Linked DNA regions of Callithrix jacchus. The protein of the gene in region 3 purifies or fractionates together with the protein of the main gene of each other region. This does not show direct contact. Links are inferred from orthologs where the notes say so. Each region holds a gene or a part of one and is shown on either strand. Other genes may lie near its edges.

The links. Proteins that work in one complex are often made in the same cells at the same time.
Region 1: the proteins of PPP4C (region 3) and PPP2R5D purify together in Homo sapiens (affinity purification with mass spectrometry; 7 studies listed by BioGRID and IntAct, with this or other methods). This does not show direct contact. The link is inferred for Callithrix jacchus from reciprocal best matches to the Homo sapiens genes PPP4C and PPP2R5D.
Region 2: the proteins of PPP4C (region 3) and PPP2R2D purify together in Homo sapiens (affinity purification with mass spectrometry; 3 studies listed by BioGRID and IntAct, counting the BioPlex papers as one, with this or other methods). This does not show direct contact. The link is inferred for Callithrix jacchus from reciprocal best matches to the Homo sapiens genes PPP4C and PPP2R2D.

Annotation. Positions count from the first base shown.
Region 1 is NC_133505.1:51,473,772-51,478,666, forward strand, and holds the start of PPP2R5D (serine/threonine-protein phosphatase 2A 56 kDa regulatory subunit delta isoform), read left to right. Parts: upstream 1-1,959; 5' UTR 1,960-2,048; coding exon 2,049-2,075; intron 2,076-4,895. UniProt on the Homo sapiens protein: The B regulatory subunit might modulate substrate selectivity and catalytic activity, and might also direct the localization of the catalytic enzyme to a particular subcellular compartment.
Region 2 is NC_133513.1:125,238,770-125,243,505, forward strand, and holds the start of PPP2R2D (serine/threonine-protein phosphatase 2A 55 kDa regulatory subunit B delta isoform), read left to right. Parts: upstream 1-1,800; 5' UTR 1,801-1,879; coding exon 1,880-1,955; intron 1,956-2,103; coding exon 2,104-2,201; intron 2,202-4,736. UniProt on the Homo sapiens protein: Substrate-recognition subunit of protein phosphatase 2A (PP2A) that plays a key role in cell cycle by controlling mitosis entry and exit. Involved in chromosome clustering during late mitosis by mediating dephosphorylation of MKI67.
Region 3 is NC_133513.1:29,442,857-29,447,518, reverse strand, and holds the start of PPP4C (serine/threonine-protein phosphatase 4 catalytic subunit), read left to right. Parts: upstream 1-1,554; 5' UTR 1,555-1,639; intron 1,640-1,864; 5' UTR 1,865-1,928; coding exon 1,929-2,026; intron 2,027-4,662. UniProt on the Homo sapiens protein: Protein phosphatase that is involved in many processes such as microtubule organization at centrosomes, maturation of spliceosomal snRNPs, apoptosis, DNA repair, tumor necrosis factor (TNF)-alpha signaling, activation of c-Jun N-terminal kinase MAPK8, regulation of histone acetylation, DNA damage checkpoint signaling, NF-kappa-B activation and cell migration.

The DNA of each region.
Region 1 (4,895 bases), on a different chromosome or scaffold from region 3:
TTTCACCATCTTGGCTAGGCTGGTCTTGAACTCCTGACCTCGTGATCCACCTGCCTCGGCCTCCCAAAGTGCTGGGATTACAGCCGTGAGCCACCTTGCCAGGCCAAATGTGTAGTCTTTTATCCCTCATTCCCCTCCCATTCTTTCCCTCTGAGTCCGCAAAGTCCACTGTATCATTCTTATGCCTTTGCATCACAGGTTTGTTTTCTTTGTTGTCATTGTTGTTTTGAGACAGGGTCTTGCTCTGTTGCCCAGGCAGGACTGCAGTGGTGTGATCTAGGCTCACCGGAATCTCCACCTCCGAGGTTCAAGTGTTTCTCCTGTCTCAGCCTCCCACGTAGCTGGGATTACAGGCATGCACCACCATACCTGACTAATTTTGTTATTGTTGTTATTGAGACAGAGTGTCACTCTCGTTGCCCAAGCTGGAGTGCGATGGCACGACTTGGTTCACTCTGCCTCACGGGTTCAAGTTATTCTCCTGCCTCAGGCTGCTGAGTAGCTGGGATTACAGGCATGTGCCACCACACCAGGTTAATTTTGTATTTTTAGAGATGGGGTTTCTCCATGCTGGTCAGGCTGGTCTCGAACCCCTGACCTCAGGTGATCCGCCTGCCTCAGCCTCCCAAAGTGCTGGGACTACAGGTGTGAGGCACCACACCCGGCCTAATTTTTATATGTATGTATGCATTTATTTATTTATTGAGCCAGAGTCTCACTCTATTGCCCAGGCTGGAGTGCAATGGTGCGATCTTGGCCCAATGCAGCCTCTGCCTCCTGGGTTTAAGCAATTCTCTTGCCTCAGCCTCCCGAGTTTCTGGGACTACAGGTGGGTGCCACCATGCCTGGCTAATTTTTGTATTTTTAGTAAAGACGGGTTTCACTGCGTTAGCCAGGGTGGTCTCAATTTCCTGACCTCGTGATCTGCTGACCTTGGCCTCCCAAAGTGCTGGGATTGCAGGCATGAGCCACCGCGCCTGGCCAATTTTTTAATTTTTAATAAGAGGTGGGGTTTTCGCCATGTTGGCCAGGCTGGTCTCGAACTTCTGACCTCAGGTGATCCGCGTGCCTCAGCCTCTCAAAATGCTGGGATTACAGTCACCGTGCCTGCCTGGCTTACATTCTATCTTAATCCTGTTTATACACGTCTGTGATTCACCAGCCTTCGAACTCCTTGTGAATATGAACAGAGTCTTAACCATTAGAGCATTGGCTTGGGCAGGGTGGCAAGTAAGGGATGGATTTCCTGAGACACTCAACAATTTAAGTTGCTTTTCCACTGCGTTCCCAACTGCTCAAACCTACCTTGTTCTCCAATTCCAGTACACTTGCAGTAGGAACGGGGACCCTCTTCATAAAGTTGCACCAAACCAGAGATTTTCATCTCATTTCGCCCAGGTCCTAGCCCTGCCAGGCTTTCCCTTTGCTCCTCTGCAACTCCTGTCTAGGGAGGCGGGTGTCTTGGAAGGTCCTTGGGAGCTTCCGCCACCAATTTTGCATCTGCAATTAGGGCTACTTTACCCCAGTGAAGAAAGGTGCCCTCCGTATTAGGGCTTCCTTCCTCCACTTCGAACTGGGCAGGGTAGCAGAGTGAACAAAGTGTGAAAGCCACTTTAGAAGGAAAGAGCAGAGCTCCCAGCCCCGCAAAGAATGGCCGAGGACGACGCACAGCGGACGCTGAAGTGCAGCACTCCTAGCCAAGCTTGGGTTTTCCCTTAGCCCCGCCTCCTTCGCTAAGCTCGACCCACTTTAGGGCGGGACCACCCACTTCAGCCAATTCTGATAGCAGAACCCTGGCGGTTTGTACTATTTCTTTCCAATGAGAAAAAAAAGGAAGCAGCTTGGCTCCAATGACCAATCCGAGGAGGCGGCGCCTGGTTGTCAGGCAGTTTTGTAGGAGTTCGGGCCAATTGGAGGCGCAGGCACCGCTCGACCCGGGCGCAGCGCGCAGGCGGTGGCGAAGAGACGCCGAACGGGCCGAGTGCGGCCGAGGCAAGCCGGAGCCGGAGCGGGGCCGCAGGAGACGGGCCGGGTCCGGACGGGCCGAGATGCCCTATAAACTGAAAAAGGAGAAGGTGAGCGTGGCCCTTTTTCCCGCACCGCCGCCTTGGAGCCTGCGCGGAGCTCTGGGAGGGGCCAGAGCCAGGCCCGGGACAGCCCCAGACTGACCCTCCCGTCCGGCCCCCGCAGGACTCCTGGGGCCAGCCCTCCGCCCCCGCGGCTGGCAGCACCCCCAGCTTGTGCCGCGGCTAGGACAGCTCCCCATCCTTGCCCCGGAGAGACTCCCCCCACATACGCCTTCCTCCCTTCTTCCCTGCTCTTACCCCCGGCCCAGGGTAACCTCCTTCTTCCAGATTCGCCCCATTCTCAGGTCACTGTCCTGCTTTTTCTGTCCCCCCATCACCCCTGGCCCCGATCTCCCATCGGTTTAGGCAGCCCCTCATCTGAAACTGCACCTCCTTCCAGAATTGCCCCCTCCCCCCGCCCTGAACAGCCCCTTTCCTCCTCTTCCTACCCGCCTGGGACAGCCGCCCCACAGTCCCCTACGGCCCCTTCTCTTTCCATGCCAAGCCCCTGACCTAGAACAGCGCTGCTTTCTCTCTCCTCCACCCAAATCTGGCCTTGGCCCCTCCCTCTAGTTCTTCCTTCACACACAAACTTGTAAGCAGGACTGAGCCCTTATGTTGATGGAACCTCAGAACATCAGTGCTGGAAGGGACCTCTGAGCGCATGCAGTGCAATCCCTAATGGTACAGATGAGGAGACTGAGGTGCCGACAGGGCAAGGGACTTGTCCAAGGTCACACAGCCTGCTAGAGGCCCAGCTGCAATATCGGGTCTCCTGACTTAAAGGCCTCTTTTCTATCAAAGCCCTCCTAACTGGCTCCAGGTACATCCTAGACCAGTCACCTTTCCTAATCTGAGTAGGCTCTTCCCCTTATTCCTAATCCTAGGATAACCTTTGCATTCTTCCTTTTTATTTTTTTGCACCAGTGCTGGATTTCTGCCTTTCCTGAGCTGCACCATCTTCAAATTGGGAATTTGTCCTCCCCGTCAGATTATTATTCCTTCTTAGCCTGCAGGCCAGCTACCCCTGGACACCCATGTCTTTGGTCTTTGTCATGATGTCCTGACACAGGCCATTTCTTTTTCTTTCTTTTTTTTTTTTTTGAGACAGAGTTTTGCTCTTGTTGCCCAGGGTGGAGTGCAACGGCATGATCTCGGCTCACTGCAACCTCCGCCTCCCCAGTTCAAGCAATTCTCCTGCCTCAGCCTCCTGAGTAGCTAGGACTACAGGCGTGTGCCACCATGCCTGGCTAATTTTGTATTTTTAGTAGAGATGGAGTTTCTCCATGTTGGTCAGGCTGGTCTTGAACTCCCGACCTCAGGTGATCTGCCTGCCTCGGCCTCCCAAAGTGCTGGGATTACAGAGGGTAGCCCCCAGCCCTGGCCCACAGGCCATTTCTTAATGGTGCCTTCTTTCACCTTTCTCTTCTACCTCGGTGCCGCCTTCCCCTGTTCCTCATCTGTGCCTTTTTCTACCCTCTGTTTCCTGCTGTTGCTGAGGTCTGACTCAGAGGTGTGGTTCCTTTGAGGTACAGTCTCACAGAGGATGCTAGGATACCAGGTCCAGCCTCCCCCAGCTTCTCCTCTCCTGGGGCTGGCCCTTTATGGTGGGGGCTGGCTCTAGTCTCATGTTCTGGCCTCTTGCTTGATGACCCCAGAGGTATATTCATTTGCCCTCTGATTGACTGGGTTACTGGGCTGCCATCTATGACCTTTTCAAACTTTTTCTTCCAGGGCTGTTCTGTATTTGCCAGGCAGCTCTGATTCTGGGTTGTCCCCTTAACCTTTCAGGGCCTGAGGCACTGAGTACAGGGTTGGTGATGGTGTGCTAGATGGTGAACCTCCTAGGGGTAGTGAGCTGGATAGGGTTGTGTGTCCCACCCAGGCCCTGTCCTTGGGGAGTGGGCATGCAGAGATGGTTTGGGTAGCTTAATTGTAGACAATGCACACACAAATCAGCCACACCAGGGGCTAAGGGAAATGGAATCCAGGGAAAGCTGGTGAGGTCCCCACCCATTTGTAGTTTTTAGTCTGATGGACTATATACTGTCCCATCCACAGAAAACTTTAGCCTACTAGATTGTGAAGAAGAAAACAAATTCCCAGTTAGACTTGTTAGGACCAGGAGTGTAAGCGTTCGGTTGGGAAAGGGTGTTGGAAGGATCAGGGTGCATGGAGCCAGGCATCACTCTCACCTCCCTATAAGGTTTTTCTGCTCTTGATTTTCAGCTGCATTTGGACTTCTTCAGTGGTTGGCAAGCTCTGGGGGGTGGGGGGTTGACAGTGTGACTGAGGTTTGCCTGGATGGGGGTGGGTGGATGATCTTTATTCCTCATCTATCACCTGTCCCCTCTCTCCTGGCCATCTTTTACAGCTTTTTCCCTAAAGTCTTTCTGAGCTGTCAGTCAGGAGTGAGCTCTCCCTTCTCTTCTGGATTTGCAGAACACTTAGTAGGCCACTTATGGTCCTTTTGTGTTTGGCCTTGGATGGGAATTAATTGTGGACAAGCCTTTTCTTCCCTTGAGATAATAACTAAGCTTCGTTTTGGTTTAGCAACTCCTTTTCACACAGTAGGTGCTTAGCGGATAGGTGCTGAGCTAATCTCTTTGAGGAATTCGCATCTCCCCCTTCCTTCTTGTTTTCCTCTGGTACTTAGCTCTTTTATTTTCTTCAGTAGGGTGTCCCTGACTCCTCCGACTTTTTTCTTGTTCATAATAATAGTAATAGCATTGACCAGCATCAGGATTTTCATGTGCCTTAACACTGTGCTGAGGGAAGAGGGTACTGTGATTGTCATCGTCTAATAAATGAGGAAACTGAGGCTCAGAG
Region 2 (4,736 bases), about 96 Mb from region 3:
TGAGAAGAGACCCGATGCCTCCATGGGACACCAGGAGGTGCCAGGCTGTGCCGTGGGCAGAAGCTCCCACTACCCCAGCAGGGAAACGGAGGCAGAAGGCAGGCATGGGGAAGTTATGGTAGCTTTAAAATGCCTAATCACTCTGGGAGGCTGAGACGGGCTGATCGCTTGAGGCCAGAGGTCTAGACAAGTCTGGTCAACATGGAAAAACCCCGTCTCTACTAAAAATACAAAAATTAGCTGAGTGTGGTGGCGCCCGCCTATAACCCCAGCCGCTCTGGAGGCTGAGACATGAGAAGCACGTGCACCCAGAAGATGGAGGTTGCAGTGAACCAAGGTGGCACCACTGCACTCCAGACTGGGCAACAGAGCGAGATTCTGTCTCAAAAAAAAACAAAGAAATACCTGACTTGGTGCCCTTCGTGCCATATTTATGCTTTAGCATCAGTTTGTTTTTTTAAAAACTGTCTCCATTGGATGAATTTGATGCTGATAATTTTAACTCTGTTGGTTTTGTGACTTTGTGTATTTAGTTTGGGTTCAGAGCTTGTCTGAGCCCTGCAGTGTTTCTCGTTTCAGGTTCACGCATGTTTGCTGAATGAAACTTCTCAGCCCTGACAGTTACGGAAGTTTCTCTTTTAAAAGACTCAGTCCATTTTAATTAAGTTTGAAAATCACTGACAGAACTAGAATACCATTAATCATGTAATTTTATACACCCTATGGGTATAAATTACATCGATTTAGACCTTTTTAATCCAATTCAGAATATTTCAGCTTCACGTAAGCAAGGTAGGTTATTTTCAGTAATTTAATAGTGATGCTTCTAAGAAGCAGCCTCATCCTCTCCCAAAGTCTGAAGATTTTTAAAAAGAAAGAAATCCCAGGCCAGGGATTCCCGTGTGAAGTCAGTGCCCCAGTTGTGCAGATGCTGGTGGAAAGCCTTTATAAACATGATTAAAACGCCTGTGCAGACCTTTGCGAGTTGCATTCTAGTATCTCCGCTTGTGGGGGACTTTCTCAAGTAGTTGCAGGTCCATTTCTGATTAGTAAGTGGGTTGTTTACAGTCGCCATTTAGTAGTTTTTTCTTCCTACTATAAAGATACTGTGGGCCCTGGGAGCGCGGAGAGTCACGGCGAGCCCATGAGTTGGTGCCCAGCAGGGGAGTGAACTTGTAGTGATCTCACTGTTCCTGAGACACCCCACACTGCAGGGTAAGGCGAGTCCCGCCATGGCTGTAGGATGAGCCCCGACCGACCCCTCCCCTCGGAGGCCTCGCCAGGCCTTGTGCTTGTCAGTCAGCACAGGACACAGGGGCACTTTAGAGAAGCCAGCTTCCTCCAGACTCTTCCTGAAAATATCAAATTTTTGTCCAAATCATAGACCTGGGTTTTTTCAATTTAATAGTCTGTCATAAATCCAGATACTCCCCTCCCAGCCCAAAGGGTTAGCCCAGGGTGCCTGAGCACTTTTGCACAGCTGAGTTTTGTTGTTCCGTCTGCCCCATGGTCTGGGTCTTTGTTGCGGTGTCAGAGATCTCAGGGGCCCCGACAGTGTCTCACTTGGTGATGTTGTCATCAATGGTGGTGACTGTCTCCAGACGATGATGACATGGAGCTTCTACTGTCCATGATACTGTAATGTACAGAAGCCAACACAAGTTACTGCATAGAACATTAAAACCTTTGTATTCCTATTGTAAACGCATCGGATTTATTTTAGAAGGTGACATTAGGTATGCATTATAAAATCAGTCAGCGTTCTTCAGGACCATGTTTTTCCTCTTTCTTGTAGCAGTGAATTTTCTAAATTTCTACCCTTTGTCCCTTCATCAAGACAGTCCAGTCTAGATAAATCCTGGTGCGGCAGGGGCCAGGCATGGAGGTGGAGTCAGACTCACACATTCATATGTGCTGGCAGGTTCTCAGCGCCAGGACCAAGAAGTGGCCACTTGGTAATTACAAGTTTGCCATGACAATTTTGCTTGATTCTGGGAGAACGTCGTGTATGTCTTATCTTTGTTTTGAGCCTTTGATTGCTGTTTTGGTGTTGTGATCCCCCTCAGACCTCCTCTGGTAAATCGCTTCTTATTCTGTTGACAGCGGACATCATTTCCACCGTTGAATTTAATTACTCTGGAGATCTTCTTGCAACAGGAGACAAGGGCGGCAGAGTTGTTATTTTTCAGCGTGAACAAGAGGTCAGTAATTTTCAGTCCGCAAACCAAATGTGACCATTCAGCCTTTCTCACGTAACTTAGAAGTGAGGAAGCAAAATTATTTTCTCATTGTCTCATTTCATTAAGCTTCAGTTCCATTGCATCAGCCATACAGAATCTCCTTTCAGGAATTATCTAAGTTCTGGCCTCAGCTGCTGAGCCCCGAGGAAGTCGCCAAGGCCTTTGTCTTTAGAGTAGGGAGGAGACTCCAGAGGGGACCACATGCAGGCTGCAGGATGGTGGTGATGTGTATTTATGTGTTTTCATTCCACGATAACTCAGGGAGCTCTCAGAAAATCCCTTCCTATGCCTGTGCAGCTGCTGGCCCGGTCCCGCTGCCCTGCCCTGCAGTGAGGTAGAAGAGTGTTCTGTGGGACACTGGCTGCGAGCAACTCTCAGCACTTCCTGCAGAGAAGTGTGGGGCTGTGTAAATTCTCTCTTCCCTTCAGGGAGAGGTGAGCAGCACTCACTCTTGCATGCCCCCTTGAAGGCTGCCTGTCCAGAGGGAAGGGAACCTTCCGAGTGGGCCTTGGAGGAGCCCACAGCTCCTGAGCACTGGCTTGTAGGTCGTAGCACTTCCTTCCCACTGATGCCTTGCCAGCCCCTCCCTCTTACTGGTGAGCCTCAGAGGCCCTAGTGAGCGAGGATCGATGATCAAGGAAGCGAGATCATTATTTGTTAGGGAAGGATTCCAGCAGGAACCTCAGGAACCTCGGTGCAGCCAGGCCTGGGGTCTGAAATACTTGTCCTGACTTTTCCTTAACAGAGTGTAAATACGGTCCCTTGCCCTTTCTGTCTCTGAGTTCCCTGACAGATGAAAGGGACAGTTTCTCGCCTCCAAAGTCTAGTCTCTGCATTTGTGTGCTGAGCTGTGGTTTAGAGGCTGGTGGGCCCTTGCTCCCCTCTTTGCAGAGCTTCTGTACACTGGAAGCACTGGCCCCGACCCCAGGACGGGGAGCCTGGAGGACTGGCCAGAACTGGAGGCGCTGGCTGCCACATGGGGAGCATGGACGGTGCTAACCGATTTCAGTTCAAAACAGAACTCTTGCAGCTTTAATTTTGATTATGTCCATGTCATTAAAGATTTCTTTTAATTCTGTTTTCTCTAATTTGAGATGGTAAGAAATCCTTTTGTGAATAATAACTATACTATCATTAATCTTGCTAAATCTTCACAGTTTGATATATTTATAATTTTGCATTCTTATCTCAGAAGTAGAATATCGCACAGTGCTACTTAAGAACCATACACCTTGGCCGGGCATGGTGGCTCATGCCTATAATCCCAGCACTTTGAATCCGCTAAAGCGGGTGGATCACCTGAGGTCAGGAGTTCGAGACCAGCCTGACCAACATGGAGAAACCCCATCTCTACTAAAAATACAAAATTAGCGAGGTGTGGTGGCGCATGCCTGTAATCCCAGCTACTTAAGAGGCTGAGGCAGGAGAATTGCTTGAACCCGGGAGGCAGAGGTTGGGGTGAGCTGAGATCACCCCACTGCACTCCAGCCCAGGCAACAAGAGCAAGACTCAGTCTCAAAAAAAAAAAAAAAGAACCAAATACTTTACCTTTTTCAAGGGAAGTAAAAAATGGGTGGTGGTGTGTACATATTACTCTTTGCAGGAGGGTTTTTTTAACAGATTGCTGAGTTGTGGCTGTCTTAATGTGAGACTTAACTTTTAGTGTCTTTAAAAAGTCTGCCTTCGTAGCCATAGCCTTATGGGAGATGCCTCATCCTTGCCTGACGGATCTTAACAGAGAAAATGGAATTTCTCTTGTTTTTGTGAACAATTACTTAACCTAAATGATTCTCAAATACAAAACAGACCCTGATAAAAGTCAGGCACCTTGTTCTAAAATACATTGGGTAGTCTAGAGATTTGAGTGTTGATTTAGGATGTATTAAGATGTATTGTTATGTGAGTGGCGGATTTTTACAGGAGCAAGTTCCTGCTGAAGCTGTTGAATAGACCTAGCAGCTGTAGCTTGATAAAGCCCAGGCAGGATTTTTTCTTTTTCTTCGTGTTTTGGTTGCCCCGTGAGAGGCTTTCATATTCCATCTACTTTTAGACCGTTTTGTCGGTTGCCACGTGTGACTCTCACTGTGGACCTGCGTGCTTCTTGTGTGGGTGAGGGTGTCAGTGCGCATTTTCGTCCATGGTCAGGGAGGCCACTGATGGAGGTGCAGGCGCTAGGAGGAGGAAGCTGCTGCCCTAAGCGACCCCGCTCCCAGTTAGAAGCTGCGGCAAGGTTCAGAGGTGTCAGCGTGGGCATCTTCAAGTGGATGGGGCGTGGAGGATTCTGAGGGATAGTGAGTGCCCCACCAGACTGTGGAAGGTGCAGGCCTTAGGTAAGGAATCGGGTCCATGGGGCCCTGGTGGGAGGTCCTGGCTGTGCCAAAAGCGAGGCAGGAAGCACCTTAGCACCTTGAGTTTCAAGTTTTTCTTGTTTTTCTGTGCACATTACGTCTTACAGGGAAGCCCGGCTGGTAAAACTAAGGCACACAGAATTTATGT
Region 3 (4,662 bases):
AGGTTACAGTGGGCTGAAATCACGCCATTGCCCTCCAGCCTTGGGCAACAAGAGCAAGACTCCATCTTAAAAAATAAATAAATAGTAAAAACACAAAAATTAGCCGGGCATGGTGGCACATGCCTGTAATCCCAGCTACTCAGGAGGCTGAGGCAGGAGAATTGCTTGAACTTGGGAGGTGGAGATTGTAGTAAGTCGAGATTGTACCACTGCACTCCAGTCTGGGCAAAAGAGTGAGACTGTCTCGAAAAAAAAAAAAGAAAGAAAGAAAAAGCAACTAAGAAATGTTAAGGGGAACATTTTGGAATCACAGAAATCATGCTGACTGAGATACAGGCTTGGCATAGGAAAGGTGGACTCCAATTTGTTAACTTCTGAAGCTGTCAATGGCAAAGATTTCTCTGAAGGCACCGGAAGAGATTTGAATTGGGCTTCCTTCATCCATTGAACAAGTATTAAGTATTTCTATGTATTAACAAGTATTTCTAAATGCTTACCATGCCAGGCCTTATTCTAAGCACTGGGGCTTCAATATTGAAAAAGACAAAGTTGGATCCTCCAAGGATTGTGGTGTCGGATAAATAACAAAAATGTGTAACTTAAAAAAGTGTAACATAAAGTTACAAGGCCTAGTCCCAGCTCGACTTGTTTCCCTAGCTGAAATGGGGATGACCAGGCGTGGTGACTGAGGCCTGTAATCCAAGCACTTTGGGGGGCCGAAGAGGGAGGATCGCTTGAGCCCAGGAGTTCGAGATTGAAGTTAGCTATGATCGCCCCACTGGACTCCAGCCTGAGCAAGAGAGCAAGACACTATCTCTAATTTAGAAAAAAATAAAAGTTGTGGCCGGTCGCAGTGGTTCACGCGCCCATGAACCCAAAGTAATCCCAGCACTTTGGGAGGCCTAAGCGGAAGGATCACCTGAGGTCAAGAGGTTGAGACCAGCCTAACCAATGTGGAGAAACCCTGTCTCTACTAAAAATACAAAACTAGGCCGGGCATAGTGGCTCACGCCTGTAATCCAAGCACTTTGGAGGCCAAGGCGGGAGGATCACCTGAGGTCGGGAGTTCAGGACCAGCCTGACCAATATGGTGAAACCCCGTCTTAAAAAAAAAAAAGAAAACTAGCCAGGCGTGGTGGCACACATGCCTGTAATCCCAGCTACTCGGGAGGCTGAGGCAGGAGAATCGCTTGAACCCGGGAGGCGGAAGTTGCGGTGAACCTAGATCGCGCCATTGTACTCCAACCTGGGCAACAAGGGCCAAACTCCGTCTCAAAAAGAAAAAAGAAAGTTGTCTAAATTTAAACATTTTTATAAAATGAAATGGGAGGGGACTGGTCTAGGGTTTCTAACAGCCCAACATCACCTGCGGCTGAGCCCACAAACACTTCCGCTGGCCTCCAGCTGCCACCGGATTACTCCCGCTCCTTCCCGATTTCAGACTTGGGAAGTGGTGCCGGGGGCGCGAGGAGGGAGGGTGAGGAGCGTGTATGACGCCACATCCGGCGCGCGGCGGAACTGGCTTCCCTTTGCTTCCGCGGCGGGGCCGGAAGTAGAGGCGGCGGCGGCGGCGGCCCAAAGCGGAGGGAAGTCGGGAGGCAGGAAGCGCCCCATAGCCGGAACCGGAGTCGCAGCGGCGGTAATAATGCGAGACCCCTCTAGGCCACCGTCCTTAGCGCGAACCGTGGGATTCGACGGGAGTTAGTGGGGGTCCGGCCAGGCCGTGGGACGCTGGGGGGGTCCCGGGGCCGATGTGAAGGGAGGCGGGGGTGGGGGTGGGGCCGGGCTGGCCCTAGAATCCAGTTGTCCGCTCCTCGCCCCTCACGGACACTCTAATCCGCGGGCTTGTCTTGGCCTTTCCCAGGAGACCCCTGTGCGGTGCGGAGGGGGCGGTGGCCCCGACTCTGACCCGCGCCGGGGGGTGGGCCATGGCGGAGATCAGCGACCTGGACCGGCAGATCGAGCAGCTGCGTCGCTGCGAGCTCATCAAGGAGAGCGAAGTCAAGGCCCTGTGCGCTAAGGCCAGGTGAGCCCGTTGGCCCCACGGAAGGGAGGCCAAGCCGCCGCCCACGGGTTCTGGCCTGGGGCAAACCCAACTGAGAATTTTGGGCTTGCCCCTTCCTGGAAGCTTTCCCAGAGAGGAACGGGATGGGGCCACTGCGCTCGAGGAAGAGCTAGCCTGCTGGGGGAAGACAGCTGGATAAAGACACTTAAAGTATTAGAAGATGTGTTTCCAGTGGAGTAAGAGTGTTACGTAAAGTACTTAGGAAACCAAGGGAAACAAGCCCATCTGTCTGGGGGACAGAAGCTTCTGGGGGTGGGTGGCGAACTGTGAGACAGGCCTCGAATAAGGAGTTGGTAAAAGAGTCAGCAACAAAACAAAGGTTTAAGACAGGAAGGTTAAAGACGCTGTGATTTATAAAAGTCTGAATTCCAACAACCACCCATAAAGGTTGGCGTATTGTACTCATTTTACAGGTGAGGACTGTCATGTTCAAAGTTACCCACAAGTAAGGAGTGGAGTCTGAAGCCAGTTCTTAGTGTCCTGTCCTTTTTCAGGCCATAATGCAAGAAGGTGGATTTGGATCACTCACATTCAGGATGGGACCCTGAGAAATCGTAGCAAGTAAGCCAGGATAGAATTAAGCATGATATGGCCGGGCGTGGTGGCTCACGCCTATAATCCCAGCACTTTGGGAGGCCGAGGCAGGTGGATCACGAGGTCAAGAGATTGAGACCATCCTGGTCAACAAGATGAAACCCCGTCTCTACTAAAAATACAAACATTGGCTGGGCATGGTGGTGTGCACGCCTGTAGTCCCAGCTACTCGGGAGGCTGAGGCAGGAGAATTGCTTGAACCCAGGAGGCGGAGGTTGCAGTGAGCCGAGATCGTGCCATTGCACTCCAGTCTGGGTAACAACAGTGAAACTCCATCTCAAAAAAAAAAAAAAAAGAATTAAGCATGATAGGAAGGCCAGTTTAAAGTTCTGTGGGAAGTAGGATGACCTAAGGCTCTAGGTTTTGGAGTGTGAGATGGCTCTAGGTTTGAATCTGAACTCTGCCACTTACTAGTTGTGTTAGTGATCTTAAGGTGTCTTTACTTGCAAAGCAGAGTTAATAGTACTTAATAAGATGGTTGTGAAAATTCAGTGAGTTGCTGCTTAAGTTTAGCACAGTGTCTTGGTACAGCATACATGCTTGATAGTCACTAGGTGTTCTATTTCTCTTGGATGAGGGCAACGATGAGATGGGCTAAAGCCATCAGGGAAGGCTACTAAATAGAGGTAGACCTTGAAGGATGAAGATAATTTGGCTAGCTGACAGGCAGGACCAGTGAGGGAAGGGCATTCCAAGCAGGACAAGTGTAGCATTGGAGGCCCTGAGAGTGTGAGGAACAGTCAGGGGTTTAATTAATTACCTGCCTTCTCTGGGGAACTGTGTGATTGTGACTTCTACCAGGCTGGTGAATTGCGGCAGAAGAGCCCGCAGAATTACCCTATGTTTATTGAACTATACACCCACTATTGGCCTGGCCCTGTACTGGCGAAAAAACGTCTATTCGTCTCTTCCTCCCAGCAATCCTGAGAGGTTGGAATCATTTGCTCCATTTTACCGAATAGGAAACCATGACTCGTAGAGGCCTGGTGACTTGACTGAGGTCACCCACTGAGGACATGGCAGAGCTCAGTTCTGAATCTGTGGCCCCCAGGCTTTTTGCTCGGCCCCACCTCACAGACTCCCTGCAGCCAGACAGGGCCTCTGAGGGGATCGTGAGCAGGGTGGGCCTCTTTTTCACCCTGTCTGTGGCTTTTCTCTTTTGCCAGCTGAAGGAAACGTCCCTGACCAGACCTGCCCCACCGTGTTTTTAATTGTCCCCTCTCCCTCAGTCCTGATGGGCATTTTTAGGAACTTAAACCTGTTGTTGTCTGGCACTATTCTTTTCCTCTGAAGTCTTATCTCCTGCGCAGGCCTTGGATCAGTGTGGTGGCGATGGTAGATAATGCTTGGATAGCATGCTGGAGTTTGCAGAATAGGAGGAAGTTATATATTCAGTCTCCATGGCTCCTTGTAACAGCCTAAGGAGTAGGCATGACGGGGCTGAGTACTTAACCCCATTTCGTGGAAGAAGAAACAGCCTCTGAGTAGATAATGTCTTGTCCAACATCGTGCAGCTAGTTGGAGGGGAAGTTAGTTGTGCATGCAGGTTTTTGACTGTGCTCTGTGGTCACTGAGAGCCAGGCGGAGGCATTTAGATTTTCATATGGGGTGTGAGGCAGCAGAGAGCTGTGGAAGGCTAACGGGTGGAGAGTCCTGCCCAGTTGAAACTGAGTGGAGCTAGGAGGTACTAGGCCAAGGCCTGAGTTGGTCACTGTTGTCCTGGGCTCAGTTCTGAAGTGGGGCCAGCTCTGATACCTGACCAAGGCCTCCTGAGGACCCACCAGAGACCCAGGCTGAGGCAGGTAGTGTTAGGAGCACCTGCTTGCCCACAGGGCACAGACATGTAGATGAAACCCATGGAAGCACAGAGGCCTGCAGTGTCTGAGCTGAAGTTGCTGCTACTAGAAATATTAGTACAGTAGAAGAGCTGAGCTTTTGAATCAGGTGGTCTTCAGTATGGATCTGTGCCTTGTCACCTAGAAGCAGTATGACCCTGGTCAAGT